Linked DNA regions of Saccharomyces cerevisiae S288C. The protein of the gene in region 1 binds, or shares a complex with, the protein of each later gene. Each region holds a gene or a part of one and is shown on either strand. Other genes may lie near its edges. The genes, in order: RFC1 and RFC4. A codon is read from its position in the direction of its gene.

The links.
Region 2: the proteins of RFC1 (region 1) and RFC4 are in contact, whole or in part, in a crystal structure (PDB 1SXJ), measured with the Saccharomyces cerevisiae proteins. Residues at the interface, in NP_014860.1 of Saccharomyces cerevisiae: Asp295 (codon at 2,572), Lys296 (codon at 2,575), Leu297 (codon at 2,578), Val300 (codon at 2,587), Pro355 (codon at 2,752), Gly356 (codon at 2,755), Thr360 (codon at 2,767), His364 (codon at 2,779), Glu376 (codon at 2,815), Asn378 (codon at 2,821), Ala379 (codon at 2,824), Ser380 (codon at 2,827), Asp381 (codon at 2,830), Val382 (codon at 2,833), Asp424 (codon at 2,959), Glu425 (codon at 2,962), Asp427 (codon at 2,968), Gly428 (codon at 2,971), Ser430 (codon at 2,977), Gly432 (codon at 2,983), Asp433 (codon at 2,986), Asn456 (codon at 3,055), Asp513 (codon at 3,226), Arg515 (codon at 3,232), Gln516 (codon at 3,235), Asn519 (codon at 3,244), Thr526 (codon at 3,265), Thr527 (codon at 3,268), Thr528 (codon at 3,271), Lys529 (codon at 3,274); in NP_014547.1 of Saccharomyces cerevisiae: Glu28 (codon at 1,391), Thr29 (codon at 1,388), Arg32 (codon at 1,379), Gln35 (codon at 1,370), Ile36 (codon at 1,367), Asp39 (codon at 1,358), Asn41 (codon at 1,352), Met42 (codon at 1,349), Pro43 (codon at 1,346), His44 (codon at 1,343), Met50 (codon at 1,325), Ile86 (codon at 1,217), Arg90 (codon at 1,205), Lys94 (codon at 1,193), Pro105 (codon at 1,160), Gly106 (codon at 1,157), His108 (codon at 1,151), Gly122 (codon at 1,109), Gln125 (codon at 1,100), Ala126 (codon at 1,097), Arg128 (codon at 1,091), Arg129 (codon at 1,088), Thr130 (codon at 1,085), Glu132 (codon at 1,079), Ser135 (codon at 1,070), Asn136 (codon at 1,067), Arg139 (codon at 1,058), Asn145 (codon at 1,040), Ser147 (codon at 1,034), Asn148 (codon at 1,031).

What each region holds. Positions count from the first base shown.
Region 1 is NC_001147.6:747,612-752,386, forward strand, and holds RFC1 (replication factor C subunit 1), read left to right. Parts: upstream 1-1,689; coding exon 1,690-4,275; downstream 4,276-4,775. Other genes in the region: RUD3 (Rud3p), read right to left, coding at 1-1,368; STE13 (Ste13p), read right to left, coding at 4,603-4,775. UniProt on the Saccharomyces cerevisiae protein: Component of the ATP-dependent clamp loader RFC complex for the POL30/PCNA homotrimer DNA clamp.
Region 2 is NC_001147.6:141,084-145,005, forward strand, and holds RFC4 (replication factor C subunit 4), read right to left. Parts: upstream 1,473-3,922; coding exon 501-1,472; downstream 1-500. Other genes in the region: HMI1 (ATP-dependent 3'-5' DNA helicase), read right to left, coding at 1-264; TRM10 (tRNA (guanine(9)-N(1))-methyltransferase), read left to right, coding at 1,732-2,613; YPQ1 (cationic amino acid transporter), read left to right, coding at 3,121-3,922. UniProt on the Saccharomyces cerevisiae protein: Component of ATP-dependent clamp loader (RFC and RFC-like) complexes for DNA clamps, such as the POL30/PCNA homotrimer and the checkpoint clamp DDC1:MEC3:RAD17 complex.

The DNA.
Region 1 (4,775 bases):
CTCATTATTCGAGATCAAGCCGGCCTGTTGTTTCTTATCTTCATCCCAGTTTAAGAAATTGGACAGTAATTCAAGAACTTCAAACTTTCTTGGGTCTGCTCTGGGTATGGACACGAAAGATATCAATAGATTGGATATCAGTTCTTTATCAACGGATTCAGAATCGCTTGATTTCTTCAACATGGCCAGTGCCTTTGTTAAATGCTCATTTAGTATAATGGCTTCGTGACGTAGTTTTCCGATCTGTAAGATGTGCTGCTTAGATTCTTCCTCATATTTTTCCTTCATAGAGGCGTCCTCCTTCATGGCTTCTAGCTGTTTTTTCATGCTTTCTAAAGCTTCTGTGTCATTGTTGTGCGTTTCTATCTCCGTGTCAAGTTGGGATCGTAAAGATTTGACTTCCTGGTCTCTCTCTCTAGCCTCTTCTTCCCTTTTGTTGTCAACTTCTTCTATCTTCAATTCCAGATCATTTAGAGAATTCTTTAATACTGCTTTCTCCTTTTCATGGGATTCCAAAGCCTGTCTCAATTCATCTCTTTCTGTTCTCAAGTCAGATATATCTTGTTTATTATTTTCTAAGATTATCATGAGTTCCTGAACTTGGAGATTTAATTGATCTTTTTCCTTCCTGTAAGTGTTAAGTTCCTTACTATGTTTTTCAATTATGTCGTGTTTTTCATCTTCCAAAGCTTCTATCCTTGATTCGTATTCCAAAAAAACCTCTTCTGTACTTTCTTGCTCCTTTTCTAGGTTTTCTAACTCTGTATTTAGGGTCACAATCGTGGATTGTAATTCAGAGTTTTCGGTCTTGGTAGCTTCAAGTTTCTTCTTCAATTTCAGATTTTGTGATTCATATTCAGTAAGCTGCTCCTGCACTTCCTCTAATTGTTTTTGTGCTTCTTTCATCTTATTAAAAATTGATTTCATAGAAGATATCTTGCTCAATAATGTGTCATACTGTGTTTTGAATTCGTCTCTTTCCTTAATAACATTTGCTAGTTCATTTTTGAAGTCTTCATTAGGCGTTTCTTGATCCTTCTTGTGGCTTAGTTCCAATTTTAAACGTTCAATTTCTTCCCTTAGTTCCTTCATCTCATCACCAGCCTTTTTGTCCTCTAAAGGATTTATGGTGTCTACAGTCAGGCCGTCATTTACTTTTTGTTTGTCTACTCCTTCAGAGAGATCTTTCCCCTCATCGTCCGGGCTTGCCACGATACCATCAGCCTCTGGATCTGTGGACATTTTTGGAGGAACGGTGACGTTTACAGAATTGATGATTTCTTCAGGTTTATTGACGGTTTCATCAACGTCCTCCACATGAGGATGACTCTTGGCCTTCTTACCTGTTTTCTTCTTATTTTTACCCATTCTAATTAAAAAAAATGCAATTGTTTGAGGGGATCAAGTGGAAAGTATACACAAGCATCTACTATATAGCTGTTTATACAAGATTTTCTTGTTCTTCATGAATGGTCTTTCTGTTTGTTTCCATTTTTCGTATCGAAATGAGCACGAAATTCAAAAAGAAGTACTGAAAAAAAAATCAACATGAGAAGGAACAGCCGATCTCTCAGCGAAAACAGTGGCTTCGTTGAATACGCTGCTTGATCCTTACACAATAAGGAATTGGGTATCTCGCAGTTAATTTTATAACTTCAAGTCACTTCATAATAAACTAAGCTGAAGAAAATGGTCAATATTTCTGATTTCTTTGGTAAAAATAAGAAATCCGTAAGATCGTCAACATCCAGACCTACGAGACAGGTGGGTTCGTCTAAACCAGAAGTTATCGACTTAGATACTGAATCTGACCAAGAATCAACCAATAAAACACCAAAGAAGATGCCTGTAAGTAATGTAATTGATGTATCAGAGACACCTGAAGGAGAAAAAAAGCTACCTCTTCCCGCTAAGAGGAAGGCCTCTTCACCAACTGTAAAGCCAGCAAGTTCAAAAAAAACCAAACCCTCCTCTAAAAGTTCAGACTCGGCTTCGAATATTACGGCTCAAGATGTACTAGATAAGATTCCATCCTTGGATCTGTCAAATGTTCATGTGAAAGAGAATGCTAAATTTGATTTCAAAAGCGCAAATTCAAATGCGGATCCAGATGAAATTGTTTCTGAAATAGGTAGTTTTCCAGAAGGAAAGCCAAATTGTTTATTAGGTCTAACAATTGTCTTCACAGGTGTTCTGCCAACCTTGGAGCGTGGTGCATCGGAAGCTTTAGCGAAAAGATACGGAGCAAGGGTTACTAAATCAATTTCAAGCAAAACTTCTGTAGTAGTCTTAGGTGATGAAGCAGGGCCAAAGAAACTAGAAAAAATCAAGCAATTGAAAATCAAAGCCATAGACGAAGAAGGCTTTAAGCAATTAATTGCTGGGATGCCTGCTGAAGGTGGTGACGGGGAAGCTGCCGAAAAAGCACGTCGAAAATTAGAAGAACAGCATAATATTGCTACCAAAGAAGCAGAATTGCTTGTTAAGAAAGAAGAGGAAAGGTCGAAGAAGCTTGCAGCCACTAGAGTTTCTGGTGGCCATCTGGAGAGAGACAATGTGGTTAGGGAAGAAGATAAATTGTGGACAGTAAAGTACGCACCAACGAATCTACAACAGGTCTGTGGTAACAAAGGAAGTGTAATGAAATTAAAAAACTGGTTGGCTAATTGGGAAAATTCAAAGAAAAATAGTTTTAAACATGCTGGTAAAGATGGCTCTGGTGTTTTCAGGGCTGCAATGTTATACGGTCCTCCTGGTATTGGGAAGACAACTGCTGCTCATTTAGTTGCACAAGAGCTTGGGTATGACATTCTTGAACAAAACGCTTCTGATGTTCGCTCTAAAACTTTACTTAATGCCGGTGTTAAAAACGCTCTTGATAACATGTCTGTAGTGGGATATTTCAAACACAACGAAGAAGCTCAAAATTTGAACGGGAAACATTTTGTCATTATCATGGATGAAGTTGATGGTATGAGCGGAGGCGATAGGGGGGGAGTTGGCCAGCTGGCACAGTTTTGTCGTAAGACGTCAACTCCATTGATTCTAATTTGTAATGAACGTAATTTACCAAAAATGAGACCATTCGATAGAGTATGTCTTGATATCCAATTTAGAAGACCTGATGCTAACAGTATCAAATCAAGATTAATGACAATTGCGATCAGAGAAAAGTTCAAACTTGATCCAAATGTCATTGATAGGTTGATACAGACTACAAGAGGTGATATCCGCCAGGTTATTAATCTACTTTCAACGATATCTACGACTACTAAAACCATAAACCATGAAAATATCAACGAGATCTCAAAGGCATGGGAAAAGAATATTGCCCTAAAACCCTTTGACATTGCCCATAAAATGTTGGATGGACAAATATACTCAGACATAGGTTCAAGGAACTTTACACTGAATGATAAGATCGCATTATATTTTGATGACTTTGATTTCACACCCCTAATGATTCAGGAAAACTATTTATCTACAAGACCAAGCGTTTTGAAACCCGGCCAGTCACATTTGGAAGCAGTTGCTGAGGCGGCTAACTGTATTTCATTAGGTGATATTGTCGAAAAGAAGATTCGTAGTAGTGAGCAATTATGGAGTCTTTTGCCTTTGCATGCTGTTCTTTCATCTGTTTATCCAGCATCAAAAGTTGCCGGCCATATGGCGGGAAGAATCAATTTCACAGCTTGGTTGGGCCAAAATTCTAAATCTGCCAAATATTATAGGTTACTGCAAGAGATACATTATCATACAAGACTAGGTACATCTACTGATAAAATTGGACTAAGGCTGGATTACCTACCAACTTTTAGAAAAAGATTATTGGACCCATTTTTGAAGCAAGGTGCTGATGCAATTTCATCTGTCATAGAGGTAATGGACGATTACTATTTGACCAAAGAAGACTGGGATTCTATTATGGAGTTTTTCGTAGGTCCTGATGTGACCACAGCCATTATCAAAAAGATACCAGCTACGGTTAAAAGTGGATTCACGCGGAAATACAACAGTATGACACATCCAGTCGCAATTTACAGAACAGGTAGTACTATTGGTGGTGGTGGTGTTGGCACCAGTACTAGCACCCCCGATTTCGAAGATGTCGTTGACGCAGATGACAATCCAGTTCCCGCAGATGATGAAGAAACACAAGATAGTAGCACAGACTTGAAGAAGGATAAACTTATCAAGCAGAAAGCCAAACCTACGAAGAGGAAGACTGCCACCAGTAAACCTGGTGGTAGCAAAAAAAGGAAAACGAAAGCATGATTTATTCATACACTAAGATTATAATTACACTTTTCTTCTCATTGATTTTGTGAGCCGTTCTATCACAGATACGAAAACTGTGTGGTGATAATAGCTCGATGGGTATCATCACCGCCCTATATAAAATACTCTTATTAGTATAGTACACAAAATAATGTACCTGTACGTACAACCGTCGTTAAATATTACATTTATTAGGTCTAACATTTGTACCTAATATGTCATTCCAAAATTATGCGTTGCAATTGAGAAACTTCATATTATTATATTATTAATCGCGTGTTTGTCTCTATCGTTATCGTTAATATCGCAATCATCCATAAAGTTTTATAAATGCAAAACTTCAGTGTTGTCAAAGCGTTCAGCAAAGGCATCCCTTAACCAATAGTATAGTTTTTGGAATACAATTCTTTGAGCGTTGTGGTACCGGATGGAATGATCAGAGTCTGGAAAAATGTGCATGTCATAGTTCGTCAATCCCAATAGATTCAGTTGATCAA
Region 2 (3,922 bases), 610 kb from region 1:
AATCTGATGGACAATTTCCTTATTTGTATGCGAGTTTTCGAAAATGGACAGTAAATTTTCTATTATACTATCAACTGCTTTGTTTGTTAACGAAAATATAAGTATTTCTTCAGGCTTAATATTCTCCACAGTAATTAAATGTAGTACTTTATATAGTAGCGTTAGCGTTTTTCCTGAGCCTGGGCCCGCAATGACTTTTATCGTAGACGCTGGTTCATATGACTTATTTATTACCTTCCATTGAGATGGAGTTAGCTTGTCCATCTGTCTTCAACGAACGACGTATACCTTCTCTATATTTTTTCTACATATTATGACTATGTAACTGCACTGCGAGTTGTAAGTTTTGATCAACAAACAACTTTAAAGCTTAAATTGTGCAAAAATGAAAAAAAAAAAAAAATTCTGACACATCACAAGGGAAGAGACAAGACAAAGAAGTAGAATTTAAAGTAATGCACTAATATGGGAGTTTTTTTTATAGTTTTCGGATATTTAAATCAGGCTTTATTATTTAGTTTATGAATTTTCGCTAACATACTAGCCAGTTGCAAGTACGTTCCAACACCCTCCAGAATTCTCATATGGGTCAAACCGATTTCTTTTATCATTTCCAATCTTACTGATTCTTTCACTTGTGCTAAGTTTTTGGTAACGCGGAAAGATGTTGTGACGATATCAATCGAGGAATAACCCTTTTTCCAAAGATCTGTTCTTAAGATTTGAATTGAATCTTCTAGGTTGGAGGCTAGTAACATTTTCTTCACTATTAGAGGGTGAGGAGAATCAACAATTTTGAAGACATTGTCTGCGTTCACTAAACCGTGTCCTGCTACTGTACTTTGTAGATTGTTTATGGCCTGTCTCATGTCACCCTCCGCTGTAAAAATGATTGCTTCTAACCCATCATTTGTATACTTAACATCCTCTAGCTTTATGATTTGTAAAAGACGTTTTAGAACGTCTTCATCGGATAGTTTAGAATACCTCAAAATCGCACATCTACTTTGCAGCGGCTCAATGATCTTGTTTGATTGATTACAAGCAAATGCAAACCTTGTAGAGTTCGAATATAGCTCCATGGTCCTTCTCAACGCTTGCTGAGCACCAGCAGTCATGGAATCCGCCTCATCAAGAATAACGATTTTATGTTTCCCTGGAGGCAAATGTAGTTTCTTCTGGGCAAAATGTTTTATTTGGTTTCTGACGACATCAATACCTCTGTCATCTGAAGCGTTCAACTCTAAAACACCGTCAGCATAAGAGCGGCCAAGGAGCTCGTGAGCAAGGCAATGTACCGAAGTGGTCTTACCTATACCTGGCATACCTGATATGATCATATGGGGCATGTTACCATCTTTAGCGATTTGCTGAAGTCTATCAATGGTCTCTTTATTACCGACTATATCAGATAAAACTTGGGGACGGTATTTCTCAACCCATGGAAGTTGCAAAGATAAAGTTTTGGACATTATAAGGGACTTTTTATATCTTCTGGGAAGCTCTGCAATGTTATAATAGATCCAATCAGATTTATAAATGCTACTATTTTACAGTATTTAAAATATGTGGTTGGTTTTCCCACCTTTTTGTCAAGAAAAAACGCGTTTAATCTAACAGTGTGATGTGGTAATGAAAAATTTTCATTGTCTTTAAGAGAGATGGTGATGTTTAATATAGCGTAAAGCTTTCAAGGTAAATAATTAAGTGTCAATCTGCAGGCAAAACAACATGTCCAATGATGAGATAAACCAGAACGAGGAAAAGGTGAAAAGAACACCACCTTTACCGCCTGTGCCAGAAGGCATGTCTAAAAAGCAATGGAAAAAAATGTGTAAAAGACAGAGATGGGAGGAGAATAAAGCCAAATACAATGCGGAACGCCGTGTAAAGAAGAAGAGACTTCGCCATGAAAGAAGTGCGAAGATTCAAGAATACATTGACAGGGGAGAAGAGGTCCCGCAGGAATTGATTAGAGAGCCTCGTATCAATGTGAATCAGACTGATTCTGGGATAGAGATCATACTTGACTGTTCTTTTGATGAGTTAATGAACGACAAGGAAATAGTAAGCTTGTCTAACCAGGTCACCAGGGCATACTCCGCGAATAGAAGGGCGAACCATTTTGCAGAAATAAAGGTGGCCCCATTCGACAAAAGACTAAAGCAAAGGTTTGAAACTACTCTGAAAAATACCAATTATGAAAACTGGAACCATTTTAAATTCCTACCAGACGACAAAATCATGTTTGGAGATGAGCATATAAGTAAGGACAAAATAGTGTATTTAACGGCCGATACAGAGGAAAAGCTGGAGAAGCTGGAACCCGGGATGCGATACATTGTTGGCGGCATTGTAGACAAGAATCGTTATAAAGAATTGTGTCTGAAGAAGGCCCAAAAGATGGGCATTCCTACGCGAAGATTGCCCATTGACGAGTACATCAATCTCGAAGGCAGAAGAGTGTTGACGACAACGCACGTCGTGCAACTCATGCTGAAATACTTTGATGACCATAACTGGAAAAATGCCTTTGAAAGCGTTTTACCACCCAGAAAGCTGGATGCGGAAGCAAAATCCGCAAGCTCTTCGCCAGCTCCAAAGGACACATAGGCAGCCATCACTGTAGTATTATTAGTAACTGAATAGCAAAATAGTAATAGTCTCCGTAGCTACAATAGGTGTATATTGATGTCAGAGATACGGGTTAAACATGCGCAACTGGTAGTAGTTCTTCAAAGGGTGTTTATGCTTATCATAGTACTTGGACATTAGCCGCCGAAACTGGCTCCACTCGAAATCTAAATGGCATTCCCTTTTTAATATTAACAACACCAATCTTAGTGTCCGAGAGGTCCAAATCTAATGTAGGGCCGTGGGAGGATACTTCTTATTTCTCTTTGCTTATTTTGCTTTGATGTTGTATGTGTTTTACCTGTAAATTCTCTAATATGGTCATTTTTGCTCTTAATGACTCTTTTATTTTTACCCGGATTGCAATTTTTCACATATCGTCTTTTTATTCACTACGTACTTTAATCGTCTTCGCGATGATATGTACTGCTAACGAAAGAATGCCATACAAAAAAAAAGCTACCACATCGCTCGACGACCTCAATTATGCAACTTGTGCCGCTAGAATTGAATAGATCCACTCTAAGTGGGATATCTGGGTCCATCTCCATCTCCTGCTGGATCATTGTGTTTGTCCCTCAAATTTACGAGAACTTTTACCGGAAGTCGTCTGATGGGCTGTCTTTATTGTTCGTGGTACTTTGGTTGGCCGGCGATGTCTTTAACCTTATGGGTGCCGTTATGCAACATCTTTTGTCTACCATGATCATTCTTGCTGCTTACTATACGGTGGCAGATATCATTTTACTAGGTCAATGTCTATGGTACGATAATGAGGAAAAACCAGCAGTAGACCCTATTCATCTCTCCCCTGCCAATCCAATAAACGAAAACGTTCTGCACGATGTGTTCAATGAACAACAACCGCTTTTGAATTCCCAAGGTCAGCCAAATCGTATTGATGAAGAAATGGCTGCTCCTTCATCCGACGGAAACGCTGGTGATGATAATCTCCGTGAAGTCAATTCAAGAAATTTGATAAAAGACATATTTATTGTTAGTGGTGTAGTTTTTGTAGGTTTCATCTCGTGGTATGTAACCTACTGCGTAAACTACACGCAACCTCCTCCCGTGGAGGATCCATCACTGCCTGTTCCCGAACTGCAGATCAATTGGATGGCTCAGATATTCGGTTACTTAAGTGCCCTTTTGTATCTGGGTTCAAGAATTCCTCAGATATTACTGAATTTTAAGAGAAAGTCTTGTGAAGGTATCAGTTTCCTATTCTTTTTGTTCGCCTGTTTGGGTAATACCACATTTATTTTCTCTGTGATTGTCATTTCTTTAG